Linked DNA regions of Struthio camelus. Each later gene encodes a partner of the first gene's protein in a complex. Links are inferred from orthologs where the notes say so. Each region holds a gene or a part of one and is shown in the gene's direction. Other genes may lie near its edges. The genes, in order: KPNA4 and RANBP3.

Region 1 (8,163 bases):
CTAGTCTTCCAAGTGCTGGGAGATTAGCACTGCAGATCTGAGGTAAAATCAAACCAGTAAGAATATAACATGATAATTGTTCCACTGAGAGCTAAACAGATTAATTAGACTACAGTTAAACAAAACGCACTTGATTAATCTCTGATTATGTCTTCACTGAAGTCATACTATAAATTATTCTTCAGATGATACCAGACCAGAAACACATATCAAAGACTCCTGAAGGGTAGTATTCCTCTGAACATACATAATTTAATAAGAACGAAGCACGTCCTTATATTTCATACAAAGGTACACTGTACAAAAGCTATACACACCAGAATGTTGCGTTAGATCTGACAATGCAAGCAGTAATGTGATTTTAGAATAGATTTGGTTTTGACGGAAGATTCTCCAAGGAACACTAACTCGGTGATTCTTAGCTATTTTCAAACGGTTACTCATAAAATGACAAGATATTGCTCAGTCCCTTGTCTCTGTCAATCTTTTTCCAATAATGTAGAGGGAAGGTCAAAAAAGAGATGACTTCATTAAAGGTCACTGTTCAACACTGAGTCAGTTTTGGTCACAAAAGAATGTGCTGGCTTTCCAATTCCATCTTTCCCAAACCACACGCTACGTAATCAGTCAGTGCTATGCGTGGTGACAGCAGGAGGTAGCAGAGGTAGGATGAGCTTGAGTTAGAAAAGACAGGAAAAAGGTAGCTACGAAAAAAGTTGTGATGGAGCAAAATATTTTTTCTTTCCTCTTCACAGACTTCTTCTGGATTGGGTCTTAGATACTATATATACATATATATGTATGTATATTTACTTTTTTTACTTTCATAACCTGACTATTTATAATCTCACGATACCGTGAGGAGTTTAACACTCTAGTACCTTGTCCAGTTTCACTATTAATAACCATGTCATTAGTATAATAATGTCGTTCCGCAGAACCAGGGCCTCCATTCTCCTTTAAGACACTGATTCACAAAGGAAACTTTTTAGAGCCACAAAATTTCAAAAAACATTCTGCAGAGATGCTTCTCAAGGACATCAAGCTCTCTCTTCTCAATGGAAGTGACATTACAACCAACCAGCAAGTTATTGGTAGATCTGGAAAATATCTGTCACCTTTTAATTCTGAGAGCAACGACTTCATTCTATAGTGTAACGGTAACTTCTCAATGTTTCTGTTTATATTTTTAGATAAAGTTGCAAAGCTATTGCACTCGTTACAATTCTCATCTTTTTCTTCTTTCAGTACATAATTTCCCCAGAAGGAGCTCAATTTTAAAGGTATTAACTGCATCAGCCATTCACAGCCATTCACAGATTCGTAGTACTGCATCCTGATTTTTCACATCTTTTGCAATGGTTATTAGTTAAATCTTTGTTATTTTTAGGTCTCTCTTTCTGGATTTCGTACCCTTAGCATGTAAAAAGCTGTGGTTCAGCAAAAAGTACTAGAGCACAGTTGCCAGTGAAATACTATTTCCATTATGTGATCAACTACGTGATTACAACAGGTATGTTCATCTAGGGCAATTTCAAAGATGACAGTCACTAAAAAAGATGAAGGGTTTTAAGTATTCTAGTGAAACATACAACACAATCCTTAATCACAAAAGGAAGCAGCTTTAAAATATTCTTGAAAATTAAAGCACAAGCAGGGCGTTTCCCTTCAGTTAATTAAAACGGTTCAGGTGTAAACAGGAGGTTATACAAGAAACTCATAGTAACAAAAGCTACAGCAAAAATTAGAGATTTCCAATTTGGTAAAGAAAAATATTTTACTTACTGATTATTTCCTGAAACAGTAAGTGCAGAAGCTACTGTCCCTGCTAAGAGTGATGAGAAACTATTTGGTGATTTTCTTTAACTGAATTAAAACTGAGGAAGCTGATACAATTTCTTGTTTCTAAGACGTCATGCATTGCTACTTTTTACATATTTTAATTTTTCTTGTCTCTTTATTAAAGACTTCTCTTTGGAAGTGACACCATCAATTTGAAAGTATATTACTTTTGAAAAAGTGAGGTATGATACTGCGATGGTTTTACTGCTGTAACATCCTGTCTTCCTAAGGCAATTGTGCTGTGGTAACAACCAAAATCTAGCTAAATAAGTGTTCTTTTTTCTTTTCTTTTTTCCTAATTAGTATTCTAAAACACCATCAAACTGACAAATTACTTTTTTGTTGTTGTTCGATTTAAATAGCAATGTCAGGGAAAAAGTCTTTCTTGTAAGTTCCGACTGCAATGTGTAGCGGTAGCTGTACCTAAGTCAGCTTTGAACAGGTTAGTTTACGTACTGGTAGAGAGCTAGCTATGGCTATATGGAATGCCACCTGGACTAATTAACCCTGACTAATTCACCCTACCCGCACTGTCGTGCCACTGCCGCTACATTCATGCAATCAACATGGCTGTGGTGACTCGAATTCTATCACTTTCAGGCTCGATTACAACTCTATCTAGGAACGGCGTCCCATGCTCTGAAAAATCTCCCCGACATAAAATATACGGTAGCCTGGGAGATCATCATCGTCATGTTTTCTTGAGCATAAAACTAAAATTAAGTTCTCTCTTCTGATATTCATAAATCTCCAAGTGTCTTAACTATACCTACTTGAAAGATTGCACCTTCCATCATGGCTTTTACTTTTCTCAACAAGTATGTTTAAGGAAAATCATAAGGCCACTGATGAAATGAGAGGCTCATCAACATATAAGACTTTAACAAAGAAGAAACCAGGCTTAATTCTACAAGCGTTACGACTGAATACAACTACACACGTGACCAGGACAGTATAACATCCAGTGAGCACTTCTACTTATCTGTAGAGGCATTCTTTTCTCGATCAAGTTAGAGAAGTAGAAGTTACCATCCCCTCTGCTCAGCACGTGCATGCTTTTTTGAATGTTCCTTATCTCTTTTCAATCAAAATGAACAAGGTTAGCTTAGACAGTTTGGACAGAACTTTTTTTCCAATATTCTGGAAGACTGGACACGGTACCACTACGAGCATTTTTTCCCTCAAAAATTACCATCGAGTCCAAACGTCACAGGCATTAACAAGTAAGCCTCGCGAAGAAAAACCACTGGATATTTTGTGAAGAAAATGTGTGGGTTTTTTTTTCTGGTAATCACTGAGTTGTCTACATTGCTAGAAATTCTCTGTATTCTAATCAGCTGCATCACAGAACAGCTAAAGAAGTGAGGAGTTTTCTTTTGTATTTCTGGGAGAGTCACTGTCAACAGGCAATAGCTTATCAGATTGGCATTCCCAAGAAAAAACTTTTTTGATAGCTAGGATTTACTAAAATGAAGGCAGGGACATACTCCAAGCTCCACATTTTTGGTGTAATCAAAATGCCCCGGACTATACTCAAGCAAAGCACCACTGTGGAATTTTCATAATATCATTCCCTTTGCTGGGGTGTTCAACGCAAATTCAGGAACCACCTCCTCCAGCTCACCACAGTTTGCATAACAGATGGGTAATACTTGTCACAAAGCACCCTGGAAGGAAGCAGGGAGTTAACAAAGGTGCCTAACACTGATAATTATACTTAAACGTGAGAAGCCTATCTGCTGAATGCTCACAATTAGTTTGGGAACGCGGTCCACCTACAGCCCTTGAGAATGAATTACAGTAATTGCTACTGGCCAAAATCTACCGCCACAGAGGCTGACTGTCATCATCAAACTAGTGAGACATGGGCCTACCTGAGGTAGCAGAGTCCAAAAGACAACAGCAACCTATTTCTGGCTCACTGCAGCCTATCTTCATCATCGTGCTAAGAGGCCAGGAAAGATCCATGATCTTACTGAAAAAGTCTTCTGCTCCCAACGCTGTTCATCCCTTATCTGTCAGAATTACTGCCACTAAATCTCGCTTGGGGGCTTGGTGTACAGCGGCTGAGCAGCGTAAATGAGAATACTGGCAAGTAAAGCTGAACTGCAGCACTCCCGCAGACAGATCTGCATACGGGTGGTGCTGATTCCTTAAGAGAGCTTACCCCGTCTCTCAGGAGGCTGCCGAGATACCTGCTGCCGCTTCCCGCGCGCTACTTCTTCCTCTTTCCAAAACCAGTCGCCTGAGCGCCAAAGTCTAGGAAAAGTACAGCGGGTTGGATTACGGTCTGGACGGCGTCAAACCGAGGCCACCTCGACAGCCCCAGTGCCTCGCTCCCTCCCGATTTCATTATTTCGTGAAGCTTCGCTGGTTGGCACCGTCCCGCTCCCCGCTAGGGGCCCGGAGTGGGGGGGGGGTGGCCCGCCGCCCCTCTCTCCTCGCTGCCCCGCGTTCGCCGCGCAAACCCTCCCCGCCGGCGCTGACACACACCCACGGGCCCATCCCGCGGCCACGTTTGGGGCAGTTTTGGAGAAACGTGTTGTGCTTGGTTTTGTTTATAAACCGGCGGCGAGTGGCAGCGCCTCCCGCGGGGGGACGTTCCTGAGGGCGCCGGGGGCGCCCCTTGGGGGTCAGCGAACACGAAGTGGAGCGGGGCGAAGGATGATGGCGTTGCTGACTTTCAGCTGGGTGAACGCAGCAGCAACCGCCGGGGTGGGGAGAGGACGAGTGGTGAAGGGAGGGAAGGCATCTAGGCCCGGCCCGGCCCGGCCCCCCCCGCCGCTTGTCGTCCCCCCCCCCCGCGGCGCGCACCGGCCACCCAAAATGGCCGCCGCGCCTGAGGGAAGCGGCCGAACCTCCTCGAAGGGCCGGCGCCCCGCCCCCTTCCCCCCCTCCCTCCTCCCTCGCGCACCGTCAGCGCGCGCGTCACGCCGCCGCGCGGCTCCCACCCTCCGCCTCGCTGCTCCTATTCGCCGCCGGCCTCGGGCGCCGCGGCCAATCAGCGAGCGCGGCCGGCCGGCCCAGATCGAGGCTGCCCCTCTTTTCCTCCCTCCCCTTTTCCCTCCCTCCCTCTCTCCCTCCCTCCCTCCTCTCCTTCCCCTCCCCCGCTCGGCTCCGTCCCTCGCTACCGGCACGTTCCGCCGCCCAGGCAGCCGGGCCCGCGGGCAGCGGCCGCCCCGGCAGCGCGGCGCGGCTCGGGCCGCGGCTCCAGCGGCGGCAAGGGGGACCCCGGCGGGCAGGGGCGCGGGCCCGCGAAGAGGAGGAGGAGGAAGAAGAAGAGAAGGCGGCGGCGGCGGAGGAGAAGGAGGAGGAGGAGGAGGCCGCCGCGCGCTCTCCCTCCCTCCCTCCCTCCCACCTTCCCCCCGCCATGGCCGACAACGAGAAACTGGACAACCAGCGGCTGAAGAACTTCAAGAACAAAGGCCGCGACCTGGAGGTAACCGCCGCCCTGTGGCGTCTTTCCTTAATCCGCCGGCCGGGGCCCCCGCGGCCTGCGCGGAAAGAGGCGGCAGCGCCTCCCCCCTTCCTCTCCCCTCCCCCCCGCCCGGCGGCGGAGGGGGGGGGGGTGAGGCCGCGCTGTGGGGCCGGGCGCGGCCGTTGGGCTCCGCGCGCGGGCGGCCACCGCCGCCGTCTCGCCACGCGCGTGAGGCTCCCTCACGCGTGAGGGGGAGGGGGCGGCGCTGGCGGCTCCGCCGGGCCCTGCTCTCCCTGCCTCTTCCCCCCCCCCCCCCCCCGCGGCCGCCTTGCCCTCGCGCCCCGGGCGCTTATCGGGCCCGCCTGGGCGTCGTAGCTAAAACCGCCCTTCGTTAAGGTGCTTCCGCGCGGCCGTGCTCGTCTGCCGCAATGGAAGTAGCGCGTTCGTACCTTTAATTTCCTCCCGAACGCTTAATAACTACTCTTTTTGCGCTGAGCAGCCCCGAAAAGCCTGAGTCAGGGATTAAGGCCCAGTTGTGCTGTTTGTCTCCAAGATACTCGAGTATTAATCCGTGACGTTAAGCGTAGGCAATAACTGTTCGCTTAAACGCACTTTTGGAAAAGGGGGCGAATCTTAGTATTTTAGTGTTAAATTCGCTGAGCCGTGGAAACAGTCGTGGCTTGTAGTATTCAGCCTCTAAACTTTTTGGAGGCCGGATTGCCATGTATGCTATTTGCTTCAGCTGTAAAGCTGCTTCGTCAACACAGCAGAAGAGGTAATTATTTTAGGGTTTCCCTAGTAAGTATTCTAATACTAAAATTATATATCGAGCCTCACCCGTAAATGCTTGCCAGCAGTGCTGACTGGGGAGCCTGTGTATGGTAATATTCATAGCGTGGGGGTTATGTCTGATGAAGAAATGGGCTTTGGATATTTCCATTTTGTATCTGCCTCAATATGTGTCCCTGTGAATAGCATAGTATAAGATCCTAGTCTTCCTATGAAATCGCCACACAGATGATTTTACCTTTTTTTTTTTTTTTTCGAAAGTAAAGGATGCGTTTACTTAGCTGTCTATCATTCAGGGAGAATATCAGCCATGTTTCTTCCTGGGCATTTGGCTAATCTAGAAGCCAATATCTTGGTGGTTTGGGAGGTTTTTTTGTTTGTTTTTTTTTGTTTGTTTCGAAACAGTATAGACAAATGAATATCCAAGGCAACTCCTTACCAAGAAACAATTGTGCTGGTATAGCAGTTTATTCTTCAGTTTGACAATGCCAAATGTTAAAATAGCTGTAAAGGGCAATAGTTAATGCAATGATTACGCTGTTGTTTAGTAGAGTTGTTACCTTTGTTAGTGAGAACTTGCCTTAGATGTTGATTTGTTTTTGTCTTAAGTTGTATAGTTGTCTTTGAACGGATAACTGAACAGGAAGAGACTGTTTAGGAAAGTGTGCAGTAAAGTATATGCTGACATACTAAAAATGAACCTTATGGAAAAGTATAGATTGGAGTGTGTCCGCCTTATTTCTCTTCTGGTGCCTACATACTTGGTTTTAAGGTAAGTCAGCTGAAGTAGGGAAGGCTTAACATGAACGCATGCAGAAATAAGAGCCCTGTGTGTGTGTATCGGGAAGCAGGTAATCTCTCAAGTATTTTTTGAATTCGCTGATGCATTTAAGCGGCCTTCTGTAGTGAAAAAACACTGTTGGGCACTGTTAAATTTTAGATACTGACATCTATCCAACAAATCTTGGAACATATGCTTGGTACCTAAAATAACTACCATGGACAGTTATTTTTCATACAATAGCTCAGGCTTATGGCTATCATTCTTATTTGTTAACTGCTTACACACCACGTTTTTCATCTGAGCATGAGATGTTGGTAGGGCTTGCTTGTAGTCAGGCATCCTATGGCAGCAACAGTTACTAGTGAGTGTTCAGTCTGTTCATAATACAGGTATATTTCTGTGTTGCTTTTGGCAGAAAGCTGTCTATTTATTTCACGTAGGAAGCCAACGTTTGATCTTTCTCTTTCCCTTGTCCTGCCTCCTTCACTCCTCCCCCACTTTACCTTTGCTGAAGTTGCATCTTTTGCCATTAGTTTCTTTTATTCAAAACGGGTGATCCTTTTTTCTTTCCTGTGACGGTTGGCCTCCATACACCATCTTACAAATCTTAAATCACTCTAGAATTAGTTTTGGTGAATGCCAAACTAATGAATTCTTCTGGGGACAATGGAGGTTTATCATGTTGCAGATTATAAACTCTTTAAAAATGGTTCACGTTCCTACATGTTTCTCAGCTCCATTGGCAATTAATTTAATAGTAGCTGCTCTCACATTGTACTCAACTTTCAGGTCTTTTCACCTGGTAGGGGGTTATTTGTCTATTTTTCAGAAAACAGAATTTTTAGCTTTTACCTTTAAAAATGCTAAGCATATGCTTAGCTCTTTGCCTATGTAAATATAAATTAAAGCTGACTTTCACTTTCCAGTTCATATCAATGTGCTTCTACAAATGTAAAGCCTGGTCTTAAAACAAACCCACGCTATTTTGCAAAATACGGGCTTAATGGAAGTTATTCGTGCACTTAAGCATGGGATAAACATGCATGCAAGGACCTGTTATGTTGTAAACAATTGCTGCTGTATGTTTGAAGATGACATTGATGACTAGGCTGGGAATAAAGAAATACCAGAAATACAGAATGCTTCCTTGTCCTTTTTTTGTTATTTATAGGATTGATCACATAAATATTGAGCGATACAGACTCTTTAACAGCTGAAGAGTTAGTGGCATGAGAGAGCTAATCTGCAGCCAATACTAAAGCAGTATCTGTTTGCAGTGTTTAAGGTTTCTAGTGTAGTACATGCAGTATGCTGTTAGGCTTTTAAGATT
Region 2 (8,233 bases), on another chromosome or scaffold:
CTTTCTAAGTTTATGGAACTCGGGTAGCAAGTAGGAGACTCAACAAACTTGTCAGGATGACTTCTTGGACTTCTTGGACTTGGACATAAAATAGTCCAACCTGATCCAATACAAGAAATCAGAAATGGGTAGGAACCTGATCCAATACAAGAAATCAGAAATGGGTAGGATAAAGGCTTCCATTGCTTGCACTGTGTCTACTCCAGCTGTGTCCAGCGCTGGGACAGGGACTCAGAGAGATGGTGGGATTTCCATCCTTGGAGATATTCAAAACTCAGCTGGAAGGCCCTCTGAGGAACCTGATCCAACTTTGAATTTGGCCCTGTGTGAGCAAGAGTTTGGACTAGAAACCCCCAGAGGTCCCTCCCAGCATTAATTTTTCTACTATTGTATGATTCTTTTTCAGAGTAGTGCTACTCTACCCTACGTAATCGCTTGTTACATAGAACAGTTCAATTCCTGTAATAACCCTTCTTCCTTTTCCCTGCAGTTCTGCTAGTTTTACTGTATCTTTTGGTGGGGGGCGGGGGACAGGGGGGTGTTAAGTAGAACTGTACATAGTTTTCAACACATAGACACAAAATGAAATTATACATCTACATACTGATGTTTCTTGTTTGCATTTACTCTTGCCTCATAATTTCTAGTAGTCTCTTTGTGTCTTTACTGCTAATCACTGAGCAGATTTTTTCAGAGAACCACTCAACTCTAGTGTGTTTGCAACTGGTTGTTATAGGGGTATGTGTATACATACACACATACACACACACACACGCGCTCATATATACATACATAAATATAAATCATTGCTATATACAGTTAGGTTTGGTTTTCCCCATGTACATTACTTTCAATTTTTCAGTATTGTGAGGTTCTTCCTAAACCCTTCATTAGTTTCACTAATTAATATTAATTTAGTATAACAGGCAATGTTCCTGCTCTTTTCCCACTGGACTTTTTTGATGGCTTCTCAGTGATGTGCAAACAGACCAGGTATTAATTTCCTGTCATTTAACCAGTCAATAAGAGGACTTTCTGATCACCTGACTCATGAACACCTTGTGATCACACCAGAATACTCTTATGACAGGCATCTTGTTCCATACAAATCTCCAGGGTCTTCTTTTGCAGTGTTGCAATGTATGTGCTGCCTAATGTTTCTGTAACTGCCACAGGCAAGGCAACCAACATAGAAGACTGTTTCAGGGCCATTTTCACCCCAGGGACAAGAGTGTTCAGGGAGTGATGGGCAGATACCAGCTTCCTTGATGGAGCTGTGTTGCAAGACCGGGAGAAAAGGCAGGTCTAACTCAGCTGTGACATTCTCCCTCCCTTACAGGAACTGATTGCACTGGTGGCTGCAGTCTACACACTGTCCCCCTCAGACTATAATGTGAGAGTACAAAATACACACTAGTGGAACAAAATTATCCTCCAGAACTTTAATGACTGGCAATGGGTGCAAAATTTCCCCATGCAGAAGGTCATATTTCAGGTCATCTAGTGGAACTGGTGCTCACCATACAGTACTAAGAAACTATCTCTAGAATCCCATGACTGTTGAAAAGAGGGTTGTTTTCACCACTAGAGCCTAGTAAGCACCCACTGTTTGGATTGCTTTTATTAGATAGGCATGACTATTTTAAGAATGTATAACAATGTGTACAACAGTGTAAGAAACTATTCTAAGAATCAGTTATCTATCTCAGACATCACAGCCAACATCCTCACAGTTGCAGAGTTTCAGCTGACATGAATTTTTTAACTGAAGAAGGGCAACAGATGGGACATGCAATCCCTTATATCATCCACTCTGTAGTACATATGGTTACATGAATCACAAGAGGTTTCACGTATTTCAGGGCTTCAGCCATTGGGTTCATTACGCCAGAGTCTCAAGGTAGGAACTGTGACCACAGAGCTCCCAGCAGTGTTATCAGTCCCAGGTCTTTTATTGCCTAGTTGCTCCAGGGATTTCTTGTGCAGCTGGTCCAGGAAAAGACATTCCCTGTTCTGTCCTCCAGCTTTGGTCTACCCTGAAGCCAGTGTTAGAGCAGGATTTCTTTCCTCTTTCTCTCCATCTTTTGAGTACTGTTATCCACAACCTTTCAACAAGCAGGTGATACGCTACGTTCCAGAAGCTGGAGTAGGAGGTAGCTTTCTCATCTCAGGCATGTCCATCCTTTAGAATGTCTACACTACACTAGCGCCATGCCCTTCCCCTGCCCCCTGAGGCAACTTTGGGGATACCATGACCCTTCCCTCCAAGGCCCTGGGACTGATTTGCTCAGGACACGATGGCACACCACACAGGGGCAAGTTTATTTAAGTCAAGGAAAGATGGCAGGACCTTTCTCTGATATTTGAAAAGCATCACGCTTAATTGTATTTTCCCTCTGCCTTTGTAGTCTACTCTGAATAATGGATTGAGTAGAGTCTTAAAGTATCCCCTTCAATGTGGATTTGGCCTCCCTTGATCTCCATGACCTTCTAAAGATAACAGAGAGTGGCTGCTCAGTGACATCAGCCAGCTCTCTCAGCCCCCTGTGATGCAACCCTTTCGGTACCATGGGCTTGCGGGGGCTGAGTGTTCTCAAGAGATTCTTGACTTGATCCTCTTCCACTACAGATAGTTCTTCTCCTTGAACCCTACCTCTGGGCACAGAAGCCTAGACGACCTCCTTAGAAGAGGCTGTGGCAAAGGCAGCATTGAGTCCCTCAAGTTTATCTGTGTCTACTGTCACGAAATCATCCATACAATTCAGTAACAGTCCCATATTTTGCTTACTTATTGTTAACATAGCAGTAGAAGCGTTTCTTGTTTCCTTTGACATCCCTTGCCAGTTTCGAATCTAACTGAGCTTTAGCTTTCCTAACACCATGCCTGTAAGACCAAGCAATGTTTCTGTATCTCTCTTTTGTAGCACATGCTTGTTTCTGTCTCCAGTATATGTATTTTTTGTTCAGTCATGAGTTCCCTGTTTAGCTAAGTTTATCTCCTGATACACCTACTCATTTTCCTGATTGCTGGGATAGACTGTTCCTGTGCTTGGAGGAAGCTGTCCTGAAAGACCTGCCTGCTCTCTTGAGCTACTCTGACCTTCAGAGCTGCCTCCCACAGAATCCCATCTACCATTTCCCTGAATAACCCAAAATCTATTCTTCTGAAGTCCAGGATCTGTTACTTTGCTACTTGCCTTCTTCACTCCCCGCAGGATCCTGAATGCTACTATTTCATGCTTGCTACAGCCAACACTGCCCTTGATTACCACATCCCCAAACAATCCTTCCTTGGTCATGAGTACCAGATCCAGAACAGCATCTAGTCCAACTAGATGGCCCATCCAGCAAGGGTGTTAAGAATTTATCCCTAACACCCTTCAGAAATAACCTGGATTACTTGTGCCCACTGTGTTGTCCATTCAGCAGATAATACAGCTCCTACTAGTAGTCAAACAGCTCCAAATAGTACTGTCCATTCTTCAGAAAAGTTTCACTAAATGCTGACATCTGCTACTGGTTAAAGATAGGTTATCTTTTCTAATTTAAATTAGTGCCATTCATTTACTCTTACTAACTTTTGCCAGTTCTGCTGTCATCTACTGTCATATTCCTGATGAAAATTCTCCTAGCAGCAAAACCACATATACATACCTGGTACTTGGATGAGTGATTAGGGGCCTGGCCCTGATCACAGACTCTATTCCGTGCTCATGTGATGGCTTGTAAGTGATATATTCTAATGATTTTGGTTTTATAGTGTGCCACTGAGCTTTTCCGTAAAGCAATCACTAAAGGTAGGATTTATGTCATGTAATTCTAGGAGTCCACCTCTGAGCTATTTGCTGTTGGCTCCCTTTCTAATGAGTAGAGATCTAGTCAACGCAGTCAGTGGACTGGCCAAAGAAGCCAACAAAATATGGGGCACCATCAAGAACATTGAGAACACAACAGAATGTCACTAAATAATATACTGTATCTTTACTCTCTCTCTCTCTCTCTATGTGTATATATACACCATATATATATATTACACTGTATCAATTTGTGGCTATATAAAACGTTGGTGCACCTACATTTTGAGTAACATGTACAGTTCTGGTCTCTACATCTCAAGTGGGAGGCAGTGAAGTGAAGTCACAGAGCATAGGCAAAAATTGATCTAGGGGGTGGAGAAGCTTAGAAGGTGGAACTAAAATGCTTTGAATTCTTCAGTTTGGAGAAAAGGCTAGGGAAGAGATGGTCAAGGCTGATACAATCACAAAGTAACTTGCGGAATGCAGAATTATTGTCCAGTTAAATCCCACAAGACAACAACTGTGGAGCACTAAGGAAAGTAGTAAATAGAAAGTAATGAAAGGAGATTGGTTTAACTCAGGTGGTGAAATTCTGCATCTTGCAGCCATTAGAGGCTATGGGGGCTGACAGGAGTGCACAGCAAAATAGGAAACAGAAAGAACTGCGGACAACACGTCCAAAAGACCCCAATCCAACGACTGCAAACGCTGGAGGAAAGCAAGGGGAGCAGACTGAAGAGAGTAACTGGACTCAAGGGGGTGACCTGTTGGCACTGTGGCGAACCCAGCCAGGCTAGCCGGCCAGGCCCGACCCAGCCGGCACTGCGGACACCGCTCCGCGGAGGCCGGGCTCAGCCGGGCCGCACGGCCGGGCCGCAAGTGGCACACGGAGTACGGCCGACACCAGAGGCCTGCGCCGCTGCACCGCAACCGGTCGCGAAGTGCCCTCCTAGGCAGCCCAGCCCAGCCCCGCGGACGCCACCTGCCAACACAGCGGAGCTGCCGCTCGCGTCCCCCGACGGGCCCGGCCGGCCCTCCCTCGCGCTGCCGTCGCGCCGCGCATCCGGCAGCAGCGGCCGACGGCGCGCTCGCTCCTGCCCCTGCAGGCCTCCCACGGGGGCGCGCCCCTGCGCACGCGCGGCAGGGACCCCACGCGCCGGGGCAGCTCCCAGCACCTACGTGAGCACCCTTCCTGCCAGACTGCCGGCACTGGCCGTCGGCACATGCGTAGTGACTCAACGGAGCAGCTGTCCCTTTGCGCATGCGCTGCCCCGCTGGGCCCCCTGTAAGTGGAGGCCGTCCGGCTGCGTGATGCATTGTGGGCGTGATTGAGGAAGTAAAATGGCGGACCTAGCGAACGAAGGTAGGGGGACGCTGGTGGCGTGTGGGGGGTGTTGGTCGCGGCTTCTGTCGGTTCGGTCTCCGGGCGGTGGCGGCACTGACCCCGAGCTGGCCGAGCCTGTCCCTGTCATCTGGGCGCAGAGGAGCGCCCAGGCGCGGGTCCGCCCGCGGAAGCGCCCCCTTCCCGCGGCCTCTCCGCACCTCGGCTCCTCTGGGGCGAGTGGCCGGACAAAGGGAGCGACCGGCCGCAGCGGCGGAGCCGCCGCGCTCCTCTTCGGCCTTGCTCTGTCCCGTGCCGTAGCGCCTGCAGGGCTGGCGGCCCGCCGGGAGTGGGTGTCCTCGCTACCGCCGGCCCTGCGGGGGCTCAGGGGTGGCTGCGAGCGCGGGAGCGGTGGCCTCGGGCAGCGCTGGTAAATGTCTCCCGGCCAGGAGGTGGTACAGGGCTCACCGTGAGGCGGGGCGGCTCCCGGGGGCGGCGGCCGGCCCCAGGTCCCTGCTCCCGCACTTCCTGCGCGCAGAAAACGTGCACTGGTGTCCCCGCAGCGCTCGCCTGCCCTCCGGGGGAGGGTCGAGTCACCGCCGAAAGGAGCAATCGCCTAATGCTTAAACGTGGCAGTGAGCGCTGTTCTTCTTGTCCAGCAGAGTCGGTGGCCTCTTCGCATCTCCTTTTCTAGTTGTTCTTCGGGGTCATCGTCCCTAACTTTTGGACTATTGTAAATCTTCCTTAACTCCCGCTCATGTTAATTCTGCCTCTGGAGAAGGGAAGCTGTTATAGAAAGCTAGGTGAAGTCTAATAATTTTTTGCTTAGCTTGAAAGCTCTGTAAATAAAGAAACAGGACTTTTATTTCACTCTGAAAGGTATTAGTGAAATATCACTGTATCAATGTAGGGTTTGGAAATGCTGCTCCAAGGTGGATGGTGTGTAGAATGCTGTTTAACTGATGCAGCACATCAGTAGTCATTTGAGAATGAGTAATTTCCCTGGAAATCTCAGTAAACACAAGTTCATCCCCAGTGGTCTGTGTTGTTCTTCATCATTCTTCTCAGGCTAATGAAAGAGGGAAAATATGTTCAAGGAGGAGAATGAAAGTGTGTATGATGAAGCCCCTTCTTTTGAGAGCATTTCTGACACCGGAACAGTGGCTCTGATGTTAACATGAAACAACAGAAAGCAAACATCTATTGTAGATTTTGAGGATGCATCCTTCAATCAGCTAACCATACAATTACATTTAAATTATTTGACAAATCCTGAGATACGATGCATCTTTGGCTGTTGGTTCCCAAACTGAAGTGGAGTTGTCAGTGCCCAGGGACACATGATAATTGGTTTCAGGAACAGTAGTAAACAGTCAAATTGGTAAGTGGTTATTGATGGCAGTATATCAGACCTTCGATAATGAGCTTTGATGGCCTGTTGGATTCTTTTAGTACCAGAAGTTTGGGAATAACTATCTGAAGTCGTGCAAGCTCTCCACTTTAACTTCTAACTCTAAAGAGAAACATTAAGCTCAAAGGTAAATTACACATTACCAATGTTTATTATGTATTTTCATGTGGACTTGTCATGTGTTTCTATTCCTCCTTCTCTATCTTTCTGCAGAATGTTGTATACTTTTTCTGGAGGACAAAAAAGGTACAATCTTTACTTTTTCATCAGGACTTCCTTTTTCTCTCTTTCTTTCTCTTTGGACCCTTCCTTGACTCCAGTAGCGTCACTCACCAGCTAATCTCTTTTAGTTTGTGCTTGTATCTCCTTCTGCACTTGTCATCCTCATGCCCTGCTATTCTGTTTCTTCTTGCCATGAGAAAGTTTTTCTTAAGATCAAGCAAGATCAGTTTGCTTCTGAACTGTTGTCTTTTCTGCTCTTTCTGGTATCACTGGGTGCACTGCCTAGTGTTAGTTTTCTTTCCTCCAGATTCATTTTGGACTTATCTGTTCTTTGTATACTAGTGCAAGTATATGTACTTTATGGAGTTGGCTTCCTTCTGCTGAAAAGCCAGTGGCTTCCGTAGCCTTCCTACTTCCCCTGTTTGCTGTCTCTGACATTGCAATGATGTTCTCAGGTGACTTTGATTGTTGTCTCCTCATTCTTAAGCATATTTGTCTGTCAACTTTGGATTGTCACAGTATTGTAGATGAAATATTCATTTCCTGTGTCTGGGTATTCACATTTGCAAACATGAAATGACTGTTTCTTTACAGATAATTCTTTGATCTTCTACTCTGTATCAGTCTTTTCCTGTTTAAGGTATTTGACAGCTAAATGTTCATAGGGAGACAAATGAAGCAAGGTTAAAACAGAGCTCTTAATCTCCCTCAATCTTGATCAGTCTGTATAACAATGCTATCTTGATCATACCTCGTTATGAAGTACGAAGCTAATTATTCTTTGACTGAAACCTCTTTCTAGGTACTTGTATCTACTGCGTGTCATTCTCGCAGATTTTTTTATGCTTAGCATGTTTAAACAATAGTTTGCCTTGTGTGTTCATGCAAGTGAAACTCTTTGGCTCTTAATCCCTTGATTGCTGCATCAAACCTTCTGGCCTTGAAAGTTCTCTTTGTTCTGCTTGTGTCCTTTCAGCTTACTAATACAAAACTTATTTTAACCCATCACTTGTACTATAGCACCTCTTTGTTTCAATTCATTCATCAGTTTCTCCTTTTTAAACAATATATCAGTTATTTTTACTTTCTAGGTTCTAGTGTCTCCTACTCTATTGTCTTCATCACTATTGAGATGTGAATATTGTCTCCAAATAATCATTCTACCAATATCTTTTAAGCCTTCAAAAATGTTTTAATGAGCAGTCTTTCTGTGGTGCATTTCTTCACAACTACAAGCATGTCCTTTAATAGTCTCATAAATACTTTATTTTCCATTTTCTAATCCTTCCTTAAAGTTTTATTTTCACTTGTCTTTCCTCTTTTTCTCAATTGAACTGTTGAAACTGTAAAATTCTGTATGTAGTGGTTTGATGGCAAACTTTATCTTGGTGGAAGGTTGCTGTCCTCTACTGCAGAGTGGCAGGTGAAAAATGAGGTGATTCAAATGCCACCTCCTAAGGAAGCTTGTACTGTGAAGTTTCC

The links.
Region 2: the proteins of KPNA4 (region 1) and RANBP3 are in contact, whole or in part, in a crystal structure (PDB 5XZX), measured with the Homo sapiens proteins. The link is inferred for Struthio camelus from reciprocal best matches to the Homo sapiens genes KPNA4 and RANBP3. Residues at the interface, in NP_002259.1 of Homo sapiens: Arg96, Leu99, Ser100, Asp102, Arg103, Pro105, Phe133, Trp137, Thr140, Asn141, Ala143, Ser144, Gly145, Thr146, Ser147, Thr150, Glu175, Gln176, Trp179, Gly182, Asn183, Gly186, Asp187, Asn219, Trp222, Val225, Asn226, Arg229, Asp261, Trp264; in NP_015561.1 of Homo sapiens: Asn114, Tyr115, Cys116, Pro117, Pro118, Val119, Lys120, Arg121, Glu122, Arg123, Thr124, Ser125, Leu127.

The regions. Positions count from the first base shown.
Region 1 is NC_090950.1:31,080,145-31,088,307, forward strand, and holds the start of KPNA4 (importin subunit alpha-3), read left to right. Parts: upstream 1-5,000; 5' UTR 5,001-5,212; coding exon 5,213-5,281; intron 5,282-5,408; exon of another isoform or gene 5,409-6,035; intron 6,036-8,163. UniProt on the Homo sapiens protein: Functions in nuclear protein import as an adapter protein for nuclear receptor KPNB1. Binds specifically and directly to substrates containing either a simple or bipartite NLS motif.
Region 2 is NC_090967.1:1,733,376-1,741,608, forward strand, and holds the start of RANBP3 (ran-binding protein 3), read left to right. Parts: upstream 1-5,035; 5' UTR 5,036-5,138; coding exon 5,139-5,160; intron 5,161-8,233. UniProt on the Homo sapiens protein: Acts as a cofactor for XPO1/CRM1-mediated nuclear export, perhaps as export complex scaffolding protein. Bound to XPO1/CRM1, stabilizes the XPO1/CRM1-cargo interaction. In the absence of Ran-bound GTP prevents binding of XPO1/CRM1 to the nuclear pore complex.